Stegostoma tigrinum: one gene and its partner. The protein of the gene in region 1 interacts with the protein of each later gene in a pairwise test. Links are inferred from orthologs where the notes say so. Each region holds a gene or a part of one and is shown on either strand. Other genes may lie near its edges.

Region 1 (13,108 bases):
ATGAGACAATGTTCTGCTCTATTCCAAGTTCTATAAAGACAACCTTGTAAATAAGATCGCTGAACTGAGCGCCTTATGATAGATATAATCATGTGATCTCTACATGTGAAACACAAGTACAGAATTTCTATCCCAAACATACCCCTTTCCAAATAAAAAGAAAAAAAATTGCACATATCATTTATACAGGCAGTTACCCAGGTTACCTGCTCTGCACATGATTCTTGTCATGCATTAGCAGTTTGTTATTCTCATCTGTCTCTGCACATGCATTGCAAACCCTTTAAATCATGTACCATTTGAGAGGTTGACATGTTTGCGGTATTATTGGCTATTCACTTGGATGACGTTCCAGCTCCATCAACTATGGCTTCCATGTCACATGCTGATGTTGTGGCATCAATTATATTTCCACTTCCTTTGTCAGGGTGTTGTAAACTTCTGGGAGTGATGGTTGATCTGTCTCATGGCAAGTTCATATCTTATTAATCAGCCACCTACGAGCAAACAACTTCTCTAGTCATGTGTCTGTCTTCAGTTGCAATGGTAAATCTTGCTGCTCAGTTCAAACATGTACAATTGATGTAATACCCATTGGACACAGGTCCCAAGTTACCAATTGGTCTGATCCTTGTTAACAACACAATGTTTATACTCTGATGGCTCTCCACTGTTTGAGAATTTGGTAAGAAGATGAATTAGCTGGAGGTCAAATTTAATTTAATTTTGAAATGCACACCTGGTTTCAGCAATGTTTTTGCTATCGGAAGAATAATTTTGGCATGGCACCATAGTCTTTGTTTGTACAGGACTATTTGTCAAGGTTTCTGCTGGTTTGCTTCTCTATGCAAGGACTGGCTTATCTTTGCTGATTTTCACCAATGCCCCAGCCTTTTCAGACAACCAGGGATACAGCAGATGATGTATGATGTTGTATTTTCCAATTCTTTACAAAAGAGCTGGAATTCTTCATTTGGGTACTGAAGATCATTATTGGTCATCCTAGTCTCAGCAGCGGTGGTTCAAATCAACTGGTCCATCTCCCAGGAGTCAGAATCGGTGTCTAGCATGACAAGGTAATCAGCTCCTGTGAGTGCGAACAGATCTATTCCTAGCTACATCCATGGTCTATCTGGGATGTCATGCATCATCAGGGGCTCTCTATCTAGCTTAGATCAGTACTCATTATGAGAACTACACTAACTGATGTGGCCCTTGATTTTATTACTCACATTTGGCCAGGACAGCAAATCTCTTGTCTCGCTCAGGCTGGAATCAATTTCTTGCAGTTTGCATTGATGCACTTCAGCATCTCTCTTAACTCCTTCGGAATAAGAAATATTTCCTTTGTACAATATGCAACTTCAAGCTGTCAATTCATCTGTGTGCCCAATATACTTTTGAGACATAGGAGTGTCCTTGATGCTTTCAGGCCATCCTGTCATCTCGATTTCTTGCAACACTTGCAGATTTAAGTAAGGCATTTAAACACTCAGCATCATTGCTGGGGGCCCCTTTGTGATGCAGTGGTAGTGTCCCTTCCCCTGAACTGAGGAGCCCAGGTTCGAGTCCCATCTGCTCCAGAGGCGTATAAATAACATCTCTGAACAGGTTGATTCAGAAAAATAGATTCAATGTCTTTGCTGAGCTGATGACTTCCAGAACAGACTTCATATAACATTGTGAAATCTTCTAAATCCACTCTCTCACATCATCCTCTACATTAGTCATAAAAAGGAGATCTGCCGTCTGCAGCTTGGTCAGTGATGTACATCTGTTTCCTTTGCTTGTATGTCACATTCACATAGTATCTCTGTGACCAGGCTAACATGTTATGCAGATACTCTGAAGTAAATAGTAGTGCCTTGTGCAAAATAGTTTGAAGCAGTTTGTGGCTAGATTCAAACTCATCTTGTCTCTTCCAATTAGGTGTTAATGAAAATGATCACGAGCAAAGGTAGTCACCCAGGCAACATCTTGATCTGAGCATATATTCATTTTGTTTGCATAAATGCACTGGATCCAAATACAGCTTGTTGTCCTTGTTACACGAGGGATACGCCAAGCCCTGTCCTGCTGGCATCACACTGTGGGCTGCCTTCGTCATGTATATAACACTTTGTCAACTCCATTACCTTGTTAGTTGCTTGATCTTGATGACTGCTGCTTGTTTTGGGCCCCAATGCCATTGTACAACAAAACAAGAGAACTGATCAATGACTTCAGAAAGGAAGGAGAAAGACACGCCACTATCTACATCAATGGTGCAGAGGTGGACAGCGTCAAGTTCGTAGGAGTAACAATAACCAACAATCTGTCCTGCACCTCCCTCATGGATCTGACAGTCAAGGCAGCAGTATAATGCCTTTCCTTCTTCAGATGGCTCTGGAAATCCGACAAGTCCATAAGAACCTCACCAACTTTTACAGTTGCACCACAAAAAGCATTCTATCTGGGTGCATAATGGCTTGTATGGCAACTGCTCTGCCCAGGCCTAGAAAAAGCTACAGGAAGTTGTGTACACAGCCCAGATCACCATGAAAACAAACCTCCCATCCAAGGACTCCATCTACACGTCACGTTGCCACAGAAATGCTGCCAATGCCATCCAAGATTCCTCCCACCCCAGTAATACTGTCTTCAAACCTCTTCCGTCAGACAGAAGATACAGATACACGTTCAAGGATAACTTCTTCTCTGCTGTTATTTGATCACTAAGTGGACTTTTCTAATTTCAAATCTAATATTGATCTTGCTTTAACACATCTTCTGTGCAGACGTATCTGTGTGCCTCACTCTATCCAAATACCCTATGATCTATATGTTCTTGAGTATTATGATCTGCTTGAAATGCTCGCAAAACAAAAAACTTTTCACCGTACTTGAGTACACGTGACAACAATAAAACAAATCAAATCAAAGTAAGTTCTTCTCTCAGCATGAGTGTGGTGCCATCATACAGCCTCGACTTTACTTTTGAGAGCTTCACTTTTCAACTTAAGAGAATCATTGAGTTGTCATTTCACACAAGCCTCTCAAGTTCATGATGCGCCATTGTGTATCTCACACTGCAGAATCACTTGTTATTCTCCTTCTGCAGTCATCATCCCAATAGTTACAAACCATTAATCATACACTGACAAATGAACTAACATGTTCAATGGTTTAGAGTGATTCTTCAGAATTCTATGCAGATATCTCTCCAGCGGCCATCTGCACCTGCTCATTCTACTTCTTTCTAATCAAACACTTCCACAAAATCATTTTGCTTCCTGTAGAAAGAACACTACGTACCTCAAATTGGATATGCCTTATTTTGCTTTGTGTGATGTAGTTGCAACTTGCTCTTTACCTCTGCTCTCTCTTCCTGGAATACCTGTCAAGACAATACCCAAAAGGCCTAGTTTGTTCTGTCATAAATATGCTCTTGGTGTTGATTTAAACACTCCACATTTCTGTACATGTTAATCACTTTCCAGAAAGGAGAAACATATCTTGACTCAATTACATAATCATCATAGAATCATACTATCCCTGCGGTGTGGAAACAAGCCATTTGGCCCAACAATTCCACAGTGGCCCTCCAAAGAGTATTCCACCCAGACCCATTCCCCTACCCCTGCATTTCCCATGGATAATCCACCTAACGTACACACCTCTGGACACTATGGGCAATTTAGCATGGCCAATCCACCTACCCTGCACATCTTTTGACTGAGAGGAAACCCGGACACCTGGAGGAAACACAGACAGACACAGGGAGAATGTGCAAACTCCACCCAGGTCCCTAGAGTTGTGAGGCAGCAGTGCTAACCACTGAGCCACTGTACCGCCCTGTTTTCTCAATTCACAAGACTCAAGAGTGTCATTCTGCAGCCACCTATTTAATCAATGGACACTTTTAGACATAGGCCTTAATGCTGAATATATTGATCATCAATTGAGGTTCATGGTGTAACTTCAGGTTTTCAAAATTTCTGCTCTCTAATATTTTTTGTTCTTTAGAGAGGTTTAGGTTAGAATATAATTCACAAGTCTCTCCATAGAGATAAAAAAAACGGAGATACTTGTAGCTGCTTTGGCTTGTAAATTAAATCTGCTGCAATTTTTTAATTTTGCAAGCAAATGAAAAAAAGCTGTCAGATTTGCTTCATATTATATTTCGTTTTAACTGATACCAGGAGAGTAAAGATGCAGCATGGTGCCTCATCCAGTGCCTTCTAACGTGATTCCCTTCTTTGTTCTTTTTCCGTAGCTTCCTGTTGTTTTTCGCAGCTTTGAACATTTCTGTGCTCCTTGGCTTGTAGTAAGAGTCTTTATTGAACTGAACTGATTACCTCTATAAGTGTCTCATGGTGGATATCACAGGACTACAGCAAGTCAGGAGGCACGATAGTGCAGTATTACGCTTTCATTCTAAACCTGTGTCAAACAGTCACTCTGAACTCCTCTTACAACTGACCGTAATGAGTTGATATCTCAACATCCTGACTACTGTTTTTGAAGTGTTTAATTACTAATGCAATCTCATTAACATAAAGTGTTTTTCTGCAAATGCTCAATAACACGTATTGTGCAATGAGGCAGACTTGACGAGGGAGCTTAAGGTAAAGGAACCCTGAGGAGGCAGAGATCATAAGATGATAGAATTTACACTGCAATTTGAGAGAGAGAGAGAAGATAGAATCAGAGCTAATGGTATTACAGCTGAATAAAGATGACTACAGAGGTATGAGGGAGGACCTGGGCAGAATTGGCTAGAAGAGGAGCCTCGCAGGAAAGACAGTGGAATAAGCACTGGCAGAAGTTTCTGGGAGTACTTCAGGAGATACAGCAAAAATTCATCCCTAGGAAAAAGAAGCATGGTACAGGGAGGATGAGGCAACTATGGCTGACTAAGGAAGTCAGGGATAGCATAAAAACAAAAGAAAGAGAAAGCATATAATGTCAAGAAGGGCAGTGGGAAATCGGAGGACTGGGAAGCTTACAAAGATGAACAGGGGGCAACAACAAAAAAAAAACTAAGGAGGGAAAAGATTAAATGTGAGGGCAGGCTAGCCAGTAATATAAATGAAGACTGTAAGATTTTCTTAGGTATACAAAGGGCAAAAGAGAAACAAAAGTGGACACTGAACCACTGAAAAATGACAGTGGAGAGATAGTAGTGGGAAACAAGGAAATGGCTGAGAAACTGAATTACTTCACATCAGTCTTCATGGTAGAAGACACCAGTAATATCCTAAAAATTCAAGAGTCAGGAGACAGCCTCCATATTCAGCTCCATCACCAAGGAAAAGGCGCTAGAAAAACTGACTGGCCTGAAGGTGGATAAATCACCTGGACCAGATGGGCTACACCCCAGAGTTCTAAAGGAGATAGCTGAAGAGATAGTGGAAGTGTTAGTGGTGATCTTTCAGGAATCACGAGAGTCAGGGAGGGTCACAGAGGACTGGAAAAAATCACTAACGTGACCCTGTTTAAAAGGGGAGTAAGGCAAAAGACGGAAAATTACAGTCCGATTAGCCTAAACTCAGTCGTGGGTAAAATTTGGAGTCCATTGTCAAGGATGAGATTTCTGAATATTTGGAATTATATAGTAAAATAGGGCAAAGTCAGCATGGTTTCATCAAAGGGAGATCATACCTGACACATCTGCCAGAATTCTTTGAGGAAGTAACAAGCAGGGTAGACCAAGGAGAACCAATGGATGCTATCTACCCGGACTTCAAGAAGACCTTTGATAAGGTGCCACACAGGAGACTGCTAAGTAAGATAAGGGCCCACGATTTTAGAGGCAAGGTGCTAGCATGAATAGAAGATTAGCTGTCTGGTAGAAAGCAGGGATTGGGGATAAAGGGGTCTTTCTTGGGATGGCAGCCGGTGACTAGTGATGTTCCGCAGGGGTTGGTGCTGGGACCACAACTCTTCAGTTTGTACTTTAAATGATCTAGATGAAGGAACTGTGGGCATTCTGGCTAAGTTTGCAGATGTTACAAAGATAGGTGGAGGGACAGGTAGTATTGAGGAGGTGGGGAGACTGCAGAAGGTCTTGGACACGTTAGGAGAGTGGACAAGGAAGTGGTAGATGGAGTACAACGTGGGAAAGTGAGAGGTCATACGCTTTGGTAAGAACAACAAAAGCATGGACTATTTTCTAAAATGAGGAGAAAATTCAGAAGTCTGAAGTGCAAAGAGATTTGGGAGTTCTAGTCCAGAAGTCTCTCAAGGTAAACTTGCAGGGTGAGTCAGTAGTCAGGAAGGTAAATGCAATGTTGGCATTTATTTTGACAGGACTTGAATGTAAAAGCAGGGATGAATTACCAAGGTTTTAAAAGGCACCGGCTAGGCCACTTTTTGTGTATTGTGTGCAGTTTTGGGCCCCACGTCTCAGGAAGGATGTACTGGCCCTGGAGCGGGTTCAGAGGAGGTTCACACGAATGGAAAGCTTAACATATAAAGGAACATTTGAGGACTCTGGGACTACACTCATTGGAGTTTAGAAGGATGGGGAATCTAATTGAAACTGTCAAAATACTGAATAGCCTGGACAAGGTGGATGTTGGGAAGATGCTTCCATTTGTAGGAGAGTCTAGGACCCAAGGGCACAGCCTTAGAGTAAAGCGAAGATCTTTTAAAGTAGAGACAAGGAGAAACTTCTTCAGCCAGAGAGTGGTGAATCTATGGAATTCACTGCCACAGAAGGCTGTGGAGACCAGGTCATTGAGTACATTTAAGACTGAGATAGATAAGTTCTGGTTTATCAAGGGATATGGGGAGAAAGCAGGAGAATAGGATGGAGGAACTTATCAGCCATGATTGAATGGCACAGCAGACTTGATGGGCCGAATGACCTAATTTCTGCTCCTTCATCTTATGAAGGGTAATTGAAGAATTGGTAGGAGGAACAAAATGAACATATATACGACAATGCAAAAAAAAAAGACCAGACAAGATACAGAAAAATCAATTCTACATACAAGAATCAAAATTTTTCTACAGTAAAAGAAACGACTTCAGATTAAACAACCTGTTTTAAACGACTATTGAAAAGTCTATAAAAATAACAAGCACTGCAAGACACCACAGACTTACATCTTCCTGCACATGCCTTAGGAGACTTTGCAATTATTTAACTAGCGTTAAATCTTTTCTTTCATAAAGAAAAGACTGATATAGGTAAACTATAATGTATTCAGTCAAATGACTTGGTCCTCAGAACAAACAAAAGTTAAATATAGCGATACATCAGTAAACTCACAAGTCCACAGCCACAGTCCAATGCCGGAAGTGATTACAGACAGACGCAGAGACTGCTTTCTGACTTGCTGCAAGTTCATGACTCCGAGTTCGAATCTATCCCGAGAGCCCATTGGTTAGTGCTTCAGCGCATGTCTCTGTCCTATTGGCTACTGTGCCGAGCTGTGTGTATCCCTGTTTTCTATTGGCTGCAGTGTTTGACAGGATGCATTTCCATGTTGTATTGGTTGTTATGCCTGTCCGATGTATCAATGTATTCTATTGGGTACTACCGTCCGTCTTGCCGTATCACCCTTTTTTGTTGGCTGCAGTGTTTGTCTGGTTGTATCCACTTATCCTATTGGGTATAATGTCTTTCCGGATATATCCCTGTGTCTTATTGGCTATTATTGTCTTGTCTGGATGTATCCTCTTCTTCTGTTGGCCGCTGTGTCTGTCCGGATGTCACCCTCTGTCCTATTTGCTATTTCTGATGGGAGTGAAGCTGAGGGGCCGAGAGGTCATTCCGAGCGTATGTTTTTCTGAAGATTATGGGGTCGCAGCCGCCAGCGAAACCCTGGGAAAGACGGATCCCGGGAAACCTGAGTGCCCCCTCTTTCCAGTAAGTGTTATTCGGTGATCATGATGTGCACGGCCGTGGCTCGGTGTGAAGCCTTAATGGCATTTCCGCTTAAGAAAAAAACCCACAGTGAACTCTTAAAATATCATCGTCTTTCGAACCGAATCCGATTTCAAAATCATAACAGCGGCACTTGCCAAGTGGAGTGTGGCAGGTGTCTGTGATGTGATTGAGCAAGTTGGATAGAGGTTTAGAGAATTATTCGAAATGCTAACGAGTTGTTCCCAGCATTTCTTCATTTTAAGCTTTTTTTTCAGAAGTCACCGCGCTAAATGTACTCCGTAAAGTTTAAAAGTAACAAACATTCAACATTTCGGAGGGAACATCAATGGCTAGGCCCAGTGTGGGGTGACTTCACCCGACATTGCCACCGCTTGTTGTGCTCCAAACCCCCGAAAAGCTGCAAATTCCTCTTCTGCTCTGAACAGTAGGATTGTAAAGTTAGTCAACCTTTTAATGCGGTGTAATTTGTGATGGATACGAATTTTATAAGGTGCTCCGATAATGAAACCAATATGCTTCGGGAGTAATCAGTTCCCACTGGGCTTTTTGTTGAATGAAGGTTGGAAGCAACATTGAGCAATGAAATCGACATTCGGGAATTGCAACATAACTATATAGAGAGTCAGAAATTTCTATACTACAGAAACTGTTCAGCTACAAAAACATTAATAACAAAATCATAATCTTGGATTTAGCAATATTTCGATGGTTTAAATGTCTGTCCTTTTAGTATTGAATTTTGGACGAGCTGTGTGACAATTTAGATACTGGAGGTGCGAGTGAAGTTGACCTGGATGCCATTAGTGCACACGTGAAAGCTAATGCATGAATAGAAGTTGACAAAGTGAAAAGTTATCCATCTAGACTGTTGAAGTCATTTTAAAAGTCCTGAATCTCAGAATGTTAACAAGCAGAACAGCAAGTAACATATGTAGGGAAATGGTGTATCGCTATTTATTACAAAGGGCTTGGAATTTTAGAGTAAAGGTATCTCACCTCAGTTATACGGGGGTATATCTGGAAAACTGTGAGCAGTTTTAGTTTGAGGAAAGTGTGTCTTGTCAGTGTGTCATAGTTAGAATGTATCAGAAGTTTAATAGATTGCTTTCCGTGATGAGGAATTGTCCTATGAGAAGAGATTAACAGAAGTAGACCTTTATTCCCTGGCATTTAAAGGAATTAGATCTGATGAAATAGAAACACAAATCATTCTTAATGAGCTTGCCAGGATGGATGCAGAGAAAAGAATGCCCCTGGCAGGGGAGGGCAGTGCTTTTACACAGACAGTGGTGTAGGCATGGAATGAACTGCTGTGCGAGTTGGTGAAGGTGAGTACAATTACACCAGTTAAAGTGTACATGGATAGGTAAATGAATAGGAATGGTTTAGAGGGACATGGGCCAAATGCTGGTAAAAAAACTGGGACCAGATCAGTTATGATGTCTGGTTGCACAGACGACTTGGACCAAAAGGTCTGTTTCCGTCCTCTATAACTGTATGATTCAATAACTTAGCAGTGAAATGAGAAATTTCTTCTTTCAACGGACAGCGATGCCATCCCAGGTAGCTGCAGACAATTGTTGACTATATTCAAAACAGTGAGTAGATATTTAGGTGCTAAAGGAATTGGGGTACGCTAGGTAGTGTCGAAAGGTGGAGCGAGATCATAGATAAACTATAATCGTATTGCATAGCTCAGAGGGAAAGTGCCTATTCTTGCACTTTGTGCTTTTGAATGATATCCCAAGAAGCAGTGTGTTTATGAGAACTAGAAGAGGGCTAAGGATAAATGCTTGAGGAACAACAGAGCTAATGGTCCAAGAACAGTAATAGTCACATGTGACTCTTTGGTTATGAACGGATTGACAAAGAAGGAATTTGCCCAGTGTGTAGTAGTATACTATTTGACTGCAATGGTGGTCACTGATTATAAAGATTGTGTTGATGGGATAAGATTGATCCTGAGGGATTATATTTGTGGGGCGGTATGGTGACACAGTGGTTAGCACTGCTGCCTCACAGCGCCAGGAACACGGGTTCAATTCCACCCTCTGCCCACTGTCTGTTTGGAGTTTGCACATTCTCCTCGTGTCTGTGTGGGTTTCCTCCCGGTGGTCCAGTTTCCTCCGGTCGATTGGTAATGTTAAATTGTCCGTAGTGTTCAGAGATTTGTAGATTAGGTGGGTTAGAGTGGATTGGGTTTGGGTGGGTGCTTTGAGAGTCGGTGTGGATTGTTGGGCCTAAGGGGTTGTTTTCCACACTGTAGGGATTATATTATTCTGTGATATGATTTCTCTTTCATAGTATGCTGTATAAGTTGAAGGAAGAAAAGAGAAAGTAGGATTGGTATGAACTGTATGGGGGATAGCTACTGTTCTTTGCAGTCAGGAGTATAAGCTTTAGAGGCTGGGTTGCCTGCCCTTTGCCAGGATTAAGCTCATCGGGGACAGGAAAGGAACCTTGAACAGCAAGGGCATTGATCCAATTATTGTGGTCCACGTAGGCATCGTCATCATAGGTAGGAACATGGAAGTTTAGCAGCCATTGGCTAATTTAAAATCAACTACAAATACAGTAAGCTCTAGATTACTAACTCAATCACAAACAAACTGGCACAGGGTCACTGATCAGGGGATTGAATGTAGGACTCCAGAAATTGTTGTGGGAAAGATGGGTTTCAATTGATAAAACACTGGCACAATACTTTAGCTTTTCCACTGGGATAGGCTTCATGTGAACCATGCTTGGACCAGTGCCTTTATACATTGAATACCTGGGGCTGTAGAAATGCGTGGATGGATAGAAAATCAAATGGGTGTGTTTGATTGAGAGTAGAATTTCAGGAATCAGAAGGATTGTTAAGTTGAATTAGATAGAGAAAGATAGTTAAGTACCAGCATTGGAAACAAATATCCAATGGTGGTGTCTTGGCAATGATTGATGGGAAGATGGAGATTAAAATCATGAGTGATTTTAAAAAAAAAAACAAGTTGGGTCGATTTTTCTGTATAATGACACAAAGTAAGATGGTGGTAGTTCTTGGAGGTTAGTCATCTCAGTTTCGGGTCATCACTGCCGCAGTTCCTCAGAGCAGTGTCATAGGCCCACAGATCAGCTGATTCATCAGTGACCTCTCCTTCTTCATTAGGTCGTCTGTGATGATTACACAATGTACCCTCCATAACTCCTCGCATACTGAAGCAGAGCATGTCCAAATGCAACAAGACATGGTCAGTATCCAGGCTTCGGCTGAAAACTAGCAAATAACATTTGCGCGAGACAAATGCCAGGCAGTGACCATTTCCAATCTATCACTGTCTGTTGGTTTTCAGTGGTGTACCTATCACAATGTCGTTACTATCAAAATCCAGCTGGTTAGCAATGACCAGAAACTGAACTAGACTTGTCATGCAAATACTGTGGCCAAAAGAGCAGGTCAGAGGCAAGGAATGCCACAGTAAGTAAGTTGTTCCTGATTCCCCAAAGTCCTGTTGACCATCTTCTTGGCACAAGCCAGGAATGTAACTGTATGCTCCTGACTTGCCTGGATGAGTGTAGCTTGACAACACCCAGGACAAAACAGTCTGCTTGTTTGGCACCATGTCCATGACCATTCAGTCACACCGCCAGCAATGCTCAGTAGCCATAGTGTGTACGATCAACTAAATGCATTGCAGAAATTCAACATGGGTCCTTAGACAGCACCTTCCAAACCCACAACCGCTACCATCTGACAGGACAAGGACAGCAGATACATGGGAACATCACCATAAGATACAGGAAAATAATTACTCCATTCAGCCCATCAAGTCTGCTCTGCCATTCCATCATGGTTGATTATGTTTCTCAACTCAATTCTCCCAGTAACCTTTGATCTCCTAACTAATCGAGAACCTATCTAACTCTGTCTTAAATACATTCAACCATGCGGCCTCTACAGCCCTCTGTAGCAATGAAACCATAGATTCACCACCCTCTGGCTGAAGAAATGCCTCCTCATGGCATTGTACTGTCACAGTAGCTCAGTTCTAAAGGGTCATCCCTTCACTCTGAGGCTGTGCTGTCGGGTCCAAGTTTCTCCTACTAGTGGAAACGTCTTTTCCATAGCCACTCTATCCAGTCCTCTCAGCATTACATTGGTCTAAATCAGATACATAAACCCCCCCCCCCCCCGCCCATCCTTCTAAACTCAAGTACAGACCTAGATCCTTAAACACTCTTCATATGAAAACCCTTCATTCTAGGATCAATTTTGTAAACCTCCTCTGGACCATCCCCAAGGCCAGCACATCCTTCCTAAACTGCTCACAAATTTCCAAACTTGGTCTGTCAAGAGCTTTGTACAAGAGTCTGAGCAGAATTGGCTAAGGAGGACAGAAAATAAGTTAGAAAGTAAGATGGTAGTGAGCATTTAAGGAAGCTATTCATAATGCTCGACAAACATATATTCCAATGAGAGAGAGAAACTCCACATGACAGATGGCTAACTGGAGAAGTAAGGATGCAATTAAAAGAAAAATAATACCATGTTGCAATGATCCGGGGTAGACCAGAAGATTGAGAAAAGTTTACAAATCCGGTAAAAGATGTTTTCTTTTTACAAAGATAAAATAAATTGAGAATAAACTAGCTTGAGACAGGAAACATACACTAATAGATTCTGTGTATACAAAGTGGAAGTGGATAGCTGAAGTAAATGTTGATGTCTTAGGCAAGACTGGAGAATTTAAAAAAGCACCCAGAAAATGCAAGAGACTTCAAAGAAATATATTCTACCTGCATTTGCTGCAGAGGGAATAAAAGTATTGAATTAATGCAGAGGTATCGCTGATGGTGTTTATCTAGTACTCTTGTGTACTGCTGATCATAGTCCAGTTCTCACTGCAGAACATTAGTGTGGTGACAGTAGCTGCTGTGCATTCTAAGACCTATTTTGACTTCGGCAGGTCTTTGTTATCAAACGCTCACCACGGTTTGTAAAAGGCTAAGCTGATGTAGCTGACCCAGTGTGGGATCTTTTCATCAATGGTTGCCTTTTGAGAGGGGTGGCTGTCACATTATGGGAAATGCTTAATATATTTCAGTGACTGCCCTTCAATGTGTATGGGAGGTAGAATATTTTGCTGACCAGTTGAGAGTTGATATTAGTTTTGTTTTGGCAAAGTTCAAGGGCCAGTCAAATTTCTTGGTTGTAGAATTGCAAATTTTGATGCAGAATAGGCAGCAACG
Region 2 (12,672 bases), on another chromosome or scaffold:
GAGGGGTTAAAAGAAAGAAAATCCCTGATCTCCACTTTACAAGTAACAAGAAACAATTTATTTATTTAACACAATGAACAAATTAACAAAATTACTAACAACAGACAATTTGTCCTTAAGTCTACTAACTACTTCCTAACTGGTCTAAATTCTACTGGAATGCTGTTTAAATAAAGACAAGTCCCACCAAGATAAACCCAATTAATAATAAACAATAAATTAAAACGTAGTCTCTCCAAGCTCACAGACTGTCTTCCGGAATATTCTGTCATCTCCAGGCTCTTCACAAACACCTTTCTTCCATTAATTCTGCAGTCAGGGATATTTTCTCTCTATAATTTCTTCAGTGAAGACTTTGAGCTAAAATACCATGGCACCTTTGATTAGTTAGATGGGCTTTCTGAGAACTGTATCGTACGAACTCTGGCAGGTGGTGGATGGCTGTCTCTTTCAGGTGGCAGTTGGCTCTCAGACTTTCCAAATGCCCTTGTCTTACACACCCCCAATGACATAATCCAGTTCTTATGATTGATTTCAGGTTGTGAACACCAGATTTAAACTCAACCGGCTTTCTGTATCTAGATGCTTCATTTAAATTAATTGGCAAAATTCAAACTTGTTGTCTCGGAAAAAAATGCTGCACGGCCGTTCTATACGAAATGTTTCCATGTGGGCACTCTCTATGCACCTGCATTTATAAGCTTCCAAGCACGGACAAAGCACAAGTTCTTAAAGGGACCACAGCACTTTTTCCCCACGATTATTTTTATCCACAAATACTAACTCCCTGCCTTCCAATCCATGAATGCTCCACCCAAATTTGTAACAGTGGCAAGGCCATTTGTTGCCCATTCTTAATTAGCCCTTGAACTGTTTGGTTTGCTATGGTCTTTTCAAAAGATAGTTAAGAGGCAACCACAGTGCCATGGGTCTGGAGCCACATGCAGTGTAGATGGGGTGAGAGCAGCGGATTTCTTTCCCTGATGATCATTAGTGAACCAGATTGGTTTTTACAATAATGATGATTATGTAACCATTATCAATTAGAGTCTTCATTTCAGATTTTATTCAACCCAAATTTCACTATCTGTCTTGGTACAATTTGAACCATATCACCAGAACTTCAGCCTGGAGTAGCAGATTACTAATCCAGTGCCATACAGCCTCCCCTAAATCCTGGTTTCCTTATTTGAAAGAAATACATGGAGAAGATACAAAGAGGTACCACAAGGCTGATACTAGAACATTGGTTTAAATGTAATCAGAAAAGATTGAACAGATGGGGACTTTCCACTCAAAGAGACGACGGAGGGGTGATCGGATAGGGACCCATGGCGCAGCAGCGATCTGGTAGATTACATGATGATTCCACATGCAGGAAGACAGATAAATCAGAACCATAAATATGATAAATAAAAACCTAATATGTAATCTAGCAGGAGCTTCTTTATCCAGGGTAGTGAGAATGTGGTACTCACACACGTTGGGTGAAACTGAAAATGGTGTACATTCCATACATCAGATAATGCAAATTGTTTTAAGGGCTTCATCTGTCTCCAAATAGATTCACATTGTGCTGTGTCAAGGAGACCTTAATATACAACTGGCTGCAGTAGAAATCATAGGAACATGCTCACACTGTGCTGTGGGAAGATAACTTTAAACATCCTCTCATCTCCTGTAACAAATTAGGTTGAGGTACTCTGACAGACCTTTACACATGCTGATTTCCTAAAGATTATTCATATGGAATTACCTTTTGGAGGTCCACTTTGAATGTTTATATACAGCCCTAAATTTCATCCTAACTTTATAATGCCCTTTATTGTGCATGTTATATACAAAAAGATATTAGAACAAATACGACTGCCTTAAAATAGATTATTTATTCAGTGACTGATCTAAATCCAGGCTAATAATACATTGCTTAAAATAGAGACAGGATGGTCCCTGCAGCTCAGATTTTCTGGGCCAAGGCACATTAGGCAGAAACACCCTGCTGTAGGAAGGATGTTATTTAACTGGAAAGATGCAAAAAAGATTTACAAGGATGTTACGGAATTTGAATGGTTTGAGTTATAAGGAGAGGCTGAATAAGCTAGGACTATTTTCCCTTGAAGCATAGGAGGCTGAGGGGTGACCTTATGGAAATTTATAAAATCATGAGCAGCACAGATAAGGAGAATAGCCAAGGTCTTTTCTCAAGGATAGGAGAGTCCAAAACCAGACGGCATAGATTTAAAGTGAGAAGGGAAAGATTTAAAAAGGTACCTAAGGGGCAACATTTTCCACACAGAGGATCGTGTGTGTGTGTGTGTGTATATACAACAAGCTGCCAGAAGAAATGATAGATGCAGGTACAATTACAACATCTAAGGGAGTTTTGGACAGGTACATGATAGGAAAGGTTTAGAGGAATATGGGCCAAATCGGATGAGTTCAGTTTTGGAAACCTGATTGGTGCGAACAAATTCAGCCAAAGGGCCTTTTTCTGTTCTGTATGATTCCAAGGCTGCTGTAAACAAAACAGAGGCAAACCCTGAAGTATCATCACAGGGCATGCCAAAAATTGCCAAAACAAAAACAAACAAACAAACAATCAAATTGTACCTAAGACTTGGTTGAGTGAAGTCCACACTCAGCCTAAAACTCCAGAATAAAAAAGGAATATGAAATACCACAAAGAAAGCAACATAGGAAGCCAATCAGATCTTAAAATTCAAGTTTCAGAATTAAATTCCATTCTGGTGACAATTGGCCACCAATTGAACAGCAAAATTCATTGAGAAATATAATTTTTTGAAACAACTTTATGAACTGAATAATTGCTTGGTAATACAAATCTTGAATCTTGCAGAAGAGACATCTTTCCAAAGTCGGGGATAGTAAGAACTGCTGATGTTGGAGTCTGAGATAACACAGTGTGGAGCTGGAGGAACACAGCGGGCCAGGCAGCAGAGGAGCAGGAAAGTTGACACTTCGGGTAGGGACGGGTCCACACCGTGTTAGCTCTTTCCAAAGTCTGATGTCTTGTCCTCTTCAGGATAAATGCAAAAATGCCAAATTTTAAACCATCAGAACTATTTATACCCAAAACTTTCCCAAATATGAATTTCTCCTCCCCAAAGAAACCTACAAAAAGTATCCAAATAATTCCACTTTGTTTGCAACACAAAAATAGGAATTTCTCATATGCAAAATACTAGAGATTCTGGAGATCTGAAGTAAAGTGCTGGAGAAATTGAGGGTCTGTCAGCATCTGTGGATAGAGAAACAGAGCTAATGTTAAGAATTATACTGGACTCAGTTTCTCTCTCCACAGATGCTGCCAGACCCTCCGAGTTTCTCCTGTACTGTTTCACATGATTACTTTCTAAAAAAATGACTGCTTGGAGCATACAAAAATATCTGGGATGGATTTAGAAGCAAATTTGATCAAAGAATCGAAGTTAACTTGCGAAACCGGAAACTGTGAACTGGAGAAAATAAATTATGTGACCTTGGGGAAAAACACACTTACGGTCTGACACACACAGCCATGCTGGCTTGGTGCAAAAATAACAGAAGAAGGAGTCCCACATTCCCCACCTTTACCTTGTAAACCTGCACATACACTCTGGAAATGAAAAAAGAAAACATTAGGAATGCTAAGCAGGTCGAGCAGCATCTGTGGTTGAAAACCAAAGAGAACTGTGGTTGCTGTGAATCAGAAATTGCTGGAAAAGCTCTGAAGGTCTGGCAGCATCTGTGGAGAGAAATCAGAGTTAACATTTTGGGTTGAGTGCTCCTTCGTCCAGTCACCTGACCTGAAACGTTAACTCTGATTTTTCTCCACAGATGCTGCCAGACCAGCTGAGCTTTTCCAGCAATTTCAGTGTTAGCATCTGTTGTTAACTTGGATTCTACATCCACTCAGTTCAACAACCTTACACCACAACCAGATTAGAAGTTGAAGTTGAGAGCTTGGTCAGTAACTATCTAACCTTCTGAATATCCCCAGAATCTTCCCGTTTTACCTAAGTTCCCCAACATTGTTTACTTAGTTACAAGAACAAAAGCATTTTTGGTCAATAGTGCTGTTTAGTTTGGATAGATACTATCGGCACTCAACAACACATGGCCACACCCAGACCGAGACAGCGGAAATGCAAAATGAAAAATAAATAAACTGAAAAACAGTATTATTGGCATATAAGTAAATGCATAATTATCAGCATAGCTAACAGCTAAAAACTGAAACATCAAGAAAAGGGCATTAGAAACAAGATCAGAGGCTGACCACAAGCTCTCAAAAAAACTGAGCATTGAATGGAATCTCAGGTTTATCCAGTGTATTTTTTCCAAATAACCTCATATCTAATAAACACACTCATATACCTTGTATTCCTCTAAAAGCAGTGAGACGGAGACGAAGTGAAGCATAATAAGTACTTCATAGACAAAAAATTACCAAACACATAAATACGATTGCCCCTTTTTAATGCACTGGACTTCACTCTGATCTGACAGTACTTCTACAAGGGAAAAGCGATTATAGTATCTGGGTTACTGACGTTTCTGAAAGCGAACAAAAATAAACCAGTGATTTGGATCAAATTCCCAAATGGTAATGGAGGAAAGGAAGGACATGCAGGCAAAGGAGTGTCAGCGAAGAACAGAAGGCAAGGGGAAGAAGGGGAGAAGGCAACAGAGTAGGGGAAAGGAGGGGTGGGCAGAGGGGCAGAGCAAGAGATGGGAGGAAAGGCAATGAACAGAAGAGACAGCACGTATGTTGGGGAAAGTGCAAGCGAGGATGCGTGGAGGGATGAGGGGGGAAGACAACATGAAAGGGGATGAAGCAAGAAGGGAGATATCATGCGAGGGCATGTTAGGAGAGGCGCAGGATGGGGGGGGGGGTCGGTTGAGCGTCAGCCGTGTGGGGGGGCAGCTGACGGTGAACTGGGGGCGGGGGTAGAAGGCGGGTTAAGGTTGAGAGAGAAGGTAATGTGAGGGTGAGAGGTGGTGATGGTGGTGGGGGAACAAGAGATTGATTTGGGGGGAAAGGGAAAGGGGGTATGAGGCAGGCAAAGGAAATGTATGGGTGAGTGAGGTTGGAGGAGAGCTGTGAAGGAGGTGAGTGGGGAAGGGAGAGGTGTACAGGACGTCGGGGGAGGGGGGGATGTGAGCGGAAGGGATGTAGGGGATAAAGTAATGGGATAGCGATTGAGGTGGGAATGGAGGGGAGGTAAGTTTGAGGGAAGGTGGGAGATGTGTATGGGCCACCCCGGGGTTTCTTACCTGTCGCGGCTCCGCCTGCTCAAAGGACGCCATCTTTATGGACCAGAGCAACCGATCATAGCACGGTCGCTCTCCTGTGCCCGAGGCGACAATATCGATCGCAGAACCCCTCAATCACCAACGACAAGGACAAAAACATCACCTTTTCTGGTAAAATGAATTCAAGTAGAGATTTATAAAATCCTAACCTGATGTAAAATTGTGGATTATATTCAGAACATACAGAAAATTAACGGACCGTTGGGGCCGAAGCATTATGGGAGTTGTAGTTTTTATTCTGGGTTGGCATGATCACACTCAGGCCGTCGCTTTATTTTTTTCTCACAGTGGACCTTTTAAATGTTTTTTTAAGCTTCCGACAATCCACAGCCATGGCTATAATCATTTTTCTCCCTCGTTAATTCAGACGGGGAAAAAAAATTGTCGGTTTGGAGCGCATGCGCAATAACAGCCAGCCACCACTACTACAACAACAACTGGGAGGGACGGTGCAGAACATCTGTGGGGAGAGGGAATTGTATATTTACATTACTTTGCGGCATCAGCTCTCTGTCCTAGTGTCCCTTGTTGCCATTAGCGGACTCTCGAAGTTCAGTTACTGTGGGAAACGCAGGGACCTGGTTGTGCACAGCAAGATCCCACAACAGTAAGGTGAAGAGCTACCAGATAATCTGCTTATAAGTGTTTGGGGGGGCGCTCCTCACCCATTAGTCTTAAGGTATCTAGACCATTCGCCTTCGAAAGCAAACCAGGTCTCTCTCTGCCTCACTCCTGGAGAGGGCAGGGGGTGTTCAGCCATGGATCAAGAAAGAAGATTTCCCTGCAAAATCTGTGGCTCTAGCCGTCTTCAAACGTTCGGCGTCGTCGTGAAGTCTTTGGAAGATCTGGTAGCCAAAGGTAACCATTCAGAAGCCCTTGTCACCTTGGTACACAAGCGAAGCCAGAAAGACTGTCATTGTTTGGTATGCTGGCTCCCTGGCCCCATCCCATTTTTAAACTTCCATCGGATGGGGAGGTGGGCCACGGGCAACAGGGCATATGTAGCAGGTCTGACACCTTAATAACAGTCATATTAAGTCAATCCAGGAGGCTCTTGTGGTGTAGTTGCAGTGTCCCCACCCCTGGGCCAGGATGCTGTGAGTTCAAATTCCACCTGCAAAAGCTTGTAATAACGTGTCTAAGATAACAAAGTGTGGGGCTAGAAGAACACAGCAGGCCAAGCAGCATCCCGCACACTTTGTTATCTTGGATCCTCCAGCGTCTGCAGTTCCCATTATCTCTAATAACATGTCTAAATAGGTTGATTAGAAAATACCTAAGCCTGATTAAATGAGGCCATTAAGATTTGTCTTGTATCAGAGATAGTAGGAACTGCAGATGCTTGAGAATCCAAGATAACAAAGTGTGGAGCTGGATGAACACAGCAGGCCAAGCAGCATCTCAGCAGCACAAAAAGCAGAGAGGCTCTCTGATGAAGGGTCTAGGCCCGAAACGTCAGCTTTTGCGCTGCAGAGATGCTGCTTGGCTTGCTGTGTTCATCCAGCTCCACGCTTTGTTATCTTGGATTCTCCAGCATCTGCAGTTCCTACTATCTCTGATACAATTTTAACCCCACTGCAAAGCCTCTTCCAGGGATGCCTAACCTGAAGAAGTTACCCTCCTCCCTCCGGACCAACCTCAGGGAATCTCTCTCCCACTGCACCATCTTCGGTCCGCCTCCCCCTCTCTCCCTATTAATCCAGTTCCCTCTCCCCATCCCCCTCTCTGATGAAGGGTCTAGGCCCAAAACGTCAGCTTTTGTGCACCTGAGATGCTGCTTGGCCTGCTGTGTTCATCCAGCTTCACACCTTGTTATCTAAGATTTGTCTTGTGCTGTTCCACTTTCAAAATCCATTTTTAAGTTTAGTGCCTAAAAAATTAGGATAGAGTGAGTCTGTGTTGAAGTGTGCATTCTTATCCTGTTTCATTGTTCCTGTCAAACTCAAAGACTTGCTTCTAGCTTTGGAGTCCACCAAGCAAGTTAACTGAGTGCCCATGAAGGTTGCAAAGAGTGTTCTGAAGAAGTCATTCCGGTGCAAAATGTTAACTCTTGTTTCTTCACAGATGTTGCCAGATCTGCTGAGTTTCTCCAAATCCTTGGTGTGTTGCTTTGTTAGAAACAGTGTTAGTTTCTCAAGTTAGAAAACATCTATTATTACAGTTTTTTTTGTTACAGATCTGTACTTGTGATTTTAATTTACAGCCTCTTAGCTTTCTGTCTGACCTGTCCCAATAGATGGAGCTGGTTCACGGCATAAAGAGGCTTTTACCTTGGTTTGTAACTCATGGACTTTGAATCTAATAACCTTGGTTGTATAAATATTGAAAAAGATTTAAGTCACATGCAATTACCCACTCAAAGTAAATTTGGCTGGGTTATAAAGAGTTCTGATTGCCTTGACATGGATAGAATGATGCGTACAGAGTTTGCCTCTTCTACCCTAACTGTTTTTTTCATTGTACTGCAGCAGGATGTTGAAATGACCCATCTTGATGTATAACATGTACATATTTTTCCAGTGAGGCTCATTGTAAGCTTGAAGAATTGCACCCACTAAAAAAATGACTGCTTAGAGCATACAAAAATATTTGGGATGGATTTAGAAACAAATTTGATCAAAGAATCGAAGTTAACTTGCAAAACTGGAAACTGTGAACTGGAGAAAATTAATTATTTGACCCAGGGGCCCATGTATGAGAATCAAAAAGGTTCAGAGTTGGAGGAATTCAAGGGAGGGTAGCAAATTGAATCCAAAAGTGACCTTGTGTTGGAGGAAGCAAAGGGTGACGGTTGAAAGTATTTTTTGTGACTGGTGGAATTCCACAGGACTTAGTACTCATTCCCTTGCTTTTGGTAATTCATATCACTAATATAGACACCATTGAAGGAGGCATGATAAAGAAGTTTGCAGATAATACAAATGTTGGTCGTGTAGTTTGTGGTGAGGAGGAAAGTTTTAGACTGCAGGAAGCTAGAGATGATCTGGTTATTTGGGCAGAAAAGTGGAAAATGGAATTCAATCCATTGAAGTAGATAGTGCATTTTAGGAGGTGCAACAAGACAACGGTAATACACATTAAATATGAAGGTACTCAGTTATGTGGAAGAGCAGAGAGACTTTGGAGTGGATGTCAACAGATCCTTAAAAGCAGCAGGACAAGCTATAAAATGATTAAATAGAATATAATTATGGTTTCTTTTATTAGCCGAATCATAGAATATAACAGCAGGGAGACTATTCCAGCATTTTTTTACACTGCTGGTTAGAGGACCATTGTTACAAATGTGAGGCTGCATAAAATGATTATGTTTAGACTAACTCCTTTAATTAAAGATAAAATAAAATTGTGTCTGTTGATCTGCCCAGCAACAAGTCCAAGTGATCTGACTGCCTTGGGGACAGGTCCCTAACACCTGGAGACAAAGGATTACACAGCTGGCCTTAGTAATACCAGAAATACTGACTGAGACATCCTGGACAGAAAGGGAGATAAGGGAGCAGCAGCTGCTGTCAAAAGCAGAGGTAAAAGGCTGCTTTCTGTGAACCAGCAGGTGGATTTCTGCTGAGGACTCCTTCTCTGCTACAAGAGACAGAGTTGTGGAGATTTCTGGACAAAAATCCCATGTGTGACTAGAAAGAGTTGGGTTAGGGATTCTCAGAAGACAAGTGGAAATGACTTTCAACAGACACTACAAAACGGGAAAATGAGCTTTTTAGAAGTTGGCGGTACCTTTGGTCTGGTTGCTGTAAAGATGTCAGTTTTGCAGAGAAAGCACAGAGAACAACACAGCACAGGACTAGGCCTTTCAGCCCACCAAGACTGCACTGATTTCTACTTCTTACTTAGACCAACTACTTATCACCCATACTCAGTCACTATCTCTCTCTTCACCTCCTTTTCGTGTGTCTATCAAGATACACCTTAAATCTTGCTAACGTGCTTGCTTCCATTAGCTCCACTAAAAGCACATTTCAGACACCCAAAACCCTGTGTGTGAAAAATGTTCTACACACTTCTCCCCTAAAATTTCCCCCTCTCGCCTTGAACCCGTATTCTCTTGTAGTTGACCTTTCCACCTTGGGGGGAAAAGCCTCTGACTATCCATCCTATCTATGTCTCTCATAATTTTGTAGATCTCAATCAGACCACCCCTCAGCCTCCATCTTTCCAGTGAAAATAATCCAAGTTTATCCAACCTTTCCCCATACCTAAAACTCCCCAGACCAGGCAACATCCTGCTAATTCTTCTGTGCACCCTCTCCAAAGCATCCACATCTTTCTGGTAGCATGCAGTATTCCAAATGTGGCCTCACTAAAGTTTTATACATCTGTAACACTACTTCCCACCTTTTATATCCAATAGCCCAGCCAATGAAGGCAGTGTGCTAAATGCCTTCTTGACCCTTAATGCATCTGTGTTGCCACTTTCAGGTGTCTGCGGACCTGTACACCCAGTTCCCCCTCTATGTCAATGCCCCTAGGCCTCTGCCATTTATTGTATAATTTGTACCTGAATTTGTTCTTCTAAAATGCATCACCACACATTTGTTTGGATTGAATTCTCTCTGCCATTTCAGTGCCCAAATCTGCAATCTATCTATACCTTACCTTATCCTTTGACAATCCTCACTATCTACAACTCTGCCAATTTTGGTGTCATCCACAAAAATACTAATCAGACCACCTATTTTTCTTTCCTGCAGATCATTATTTATATTAGAAACAACAAAAGTCCCAGCACTGATCCTAGTGGAACACCACTAGTATGTATTGTGAAAACAAAAACAATGTAGGGTTTTTGGTTATATTAGGAAGTTAAAGGCGGATATTCTCTGTAGTTTAGTGCATTAATTACCTCCTGAGTAAAGTTTACTCAGTGGTGATTTAAACATATTTGTTACAATTAATGTCTTAATATGTGAAATCATGTGATGTTATCATTTAAGTTAGTCACTGGGAAGTCGGATCTCTTTAAGTTTTTGGTCCCTAAGGAGATCATTAATAAAAGCTTAAGTACTGCAGGAAGTTTTATTCATCACATTACAGCAAAAACGATGGTGCAGAATAGTTTGAGGATGTAACCATAATCTGGAAAATTTTAGGTTTGAGGAAGGATTCGGTAGTCTTGAGTTTGTTTTCCTTGGAACAAAGGAGGCTCAAATTTGACTTATTGCTGTTTATAAAATTCTGAGAGGCCCCAATAGGATAAATTGGAACAACTCGCTTACTGTAGCCAAAGGATCAAAAATTATGGGGATCATAGATTTAAAGCAGTTGGAAAAGGCACTAGAGGGGGAGAGGAGGAAGTACCTTTCACCCAGAGGATGATAAGGACCTAGAATTTACTGGCCAGAAGTGTGGAAAAGACAGAATATCTAAACCCTAATTCAAAAAGTATGTGGATGTCACTTGGACGGCAGTACTACATAGAAACTTCCAAATGGCGACCAAATGAAATGTTCAAAAAAGACTAAAATACAATGAAAAGCCTGCATGTTGGTTTAGAATAGCAGTAGCCTTTCAAAGTTAAGTGATTGCATCCTGATCTGTGTTGCTATCTGTTGTCAGTGCAAGTTATGTATGTGTGCTTTTCAAAAAAAATAAAGTTGTGGGCCCTGCATGTAGAGCAGAAGAATCTCTCCTAACCTGATAAACAGTTGAGTTCCCCAATGTTAAGAATCAGTGCAATATTTTTATCTATGTTTGACAGTGCATTTAACTTGAAAGCTTCCTTTTAAATCCAAATGTTATGAACAGCAAGTGATGTCTTAATGTAGGCCCAAAGGTGAAATAAGTTACCTATAATGATTACGCTCTCTTTCTCAGTTGGAAAACCTTTTTTTAGCTAAGACTAGAACTTGTTTACAAACAATGAAGGGTCTAGGCCCGAAACGTCAGCTTTTGTGCTCCTAAGATGCTGCTTGGCCTGCTGTGTTCATCCATCTCCACACTTTTGTTATCTCAGCTATTGATGCTGATCCTTTTCTCTTACAACATGTAACATTGAGATGCAGATCAAACGATTTAATTTATAAACACACATTCTGCAGGTTTATGCTGAAAGGTTGAACATGCAGGATATGTTAGGCATATTAAAGTTGGGTTATTTCCAGGATAAGCAGTGCCATGATACAGTTACCAGCAATGGGTTACAGAAATTGTTTTCATGGTTGGGAACTTCACATTCTGCAATATCTTAAGTGTTTGCTTCAGTTAGCTAAACTTTCAGGAGATTTTACTATCTTCTAACTTGTATTTTAATTGTTTTTGTCTAGGGAGAGAAAAACTATGTTTTGACAAAAACGATGCACAACAAGCATTTACAGTTGTGCTTGAAGATGATGGGACAATTGTTGATGATGAAGACTATTTTGCATACTTACCAGAAAACACAAAATTCATGATCCTTAACTCTGGTCAGGAATGGACTCCTGCAAACATAGGTAAGTTGCTCTTTAGAAAACAGCTGAATGCTCATGTTAATTATGAACAGGCAGTATCACAAAATTTTAAGGACGTGAAATTACATAGACACAGTATTTCTGATATTGCTTATCCATAATTTTCCCTTCCAAAGGATTTGGTAAAATTCAGGTCCAGAGTTTTCTGCTAGAGGATCAATGAGTTTATTGTGAGCACTGTTAATGTATAAATCATCCAGCAAGTTATGACGGAAAGGAGACCCTGTATATTATGATGCCCCATATGTTGCTGGTGGATTTCTGGAAAAATGGTACCTCAGCTTTTCCATTCTGCAATGTGATCATATTGAACACAATCAGTAACTTCATTGCAGGCATTTCCATCATACCACTATTAGCATCAGGCCAGGGGAGCAACCATATTTTAGTGAAGAACGTAGAAGAAGATACCAGAAGCCAGGCACACCTAAAAGCAAGGTGCCAACTTGGTAAAGCTACAACAAAGAATTATATGTATGATAAAATGTGAAAGCAACATGTCATAGACAGCTAAACAATCCCACAACCAATAGATTAGATCAAAATTCTGCTACATTCACTTGTGAATGATGGCGGTGGAACCCAATATATTGGTGGCAAAGAAGAGGCTGAAGCATTTCCAGTCATTTTCAGCCAGAAGTGCCAAGTGAATGATCTATTTCAGCTGACCCTGAAATGCTAAACCTGAGCCTTTTTGATTTATTTCAACCAATACTAAGAAGCATTTGAAGGCATTAAATAAGCAAAAGCTGTATGCTCTGTCTAACATCCTGGCTATACTACTGCAGTCTTGTGTTCTAGAATCAGGGATACCCGTAGGCAAGCTGTTCCAGTACACTGTCACCTGCTCCACGTGAAAAATTGTCCAAAAATGATCTGTCCATAAAAGAAG

What was found.
Region 2: the proteins of pex13 (region 1) and pex14 interact in a two-hybrid assay, tested with the Homo sapiens proteins (2 studies listed by BioGRID and IntAct, with this or other methods). The link is inferred for Stegostoma tigrinum from reciprocal best matches to the Homo sapiens genes PEX13 and PEX14.

Annotation. Positions count from the first base shown.
Region 1 is NC_081362.1:41,435,614-41,448,721, reverse strand, and holds the start of pex13 (peroxisome biogenesis factor 13), read left to right. Parts: upstream 1-7,654; 5' UTR 7,655-7,787; coding exon 7,788-7,858; intron 7,859-13,108. UniProt on the Homo sapiens protein: Component of the PEX13-PEX14 docking complex, a translocon channel that specifically mediates the import of peroxisomal cargo proteins bound to PEX5 receptor.
Region 2 is NC_081381.1:13,579,846-13,592,517, forward strand, and holds the start of pex14 (peroxisomal membrane protein PEX14), read right to left. Parts: upstream 5,380-12,672; 5' UTR 5,311-5,379; coding exon 5,278-5,310; exon of another isoform or gene 5,212-5,277; intron 1-5,211. Other genes in the region: dffa (DNA fragmentation factor subunit alpha), read left to right, coding at 6,075-6,174, 11,595-11,762. UniProt on the Homo sapiens protein: Component of the PEX13-PEX14 docking complex, a translocon channel that specifically mediates the import of peroxisomal cargo proteins bound to PEX5 receptor.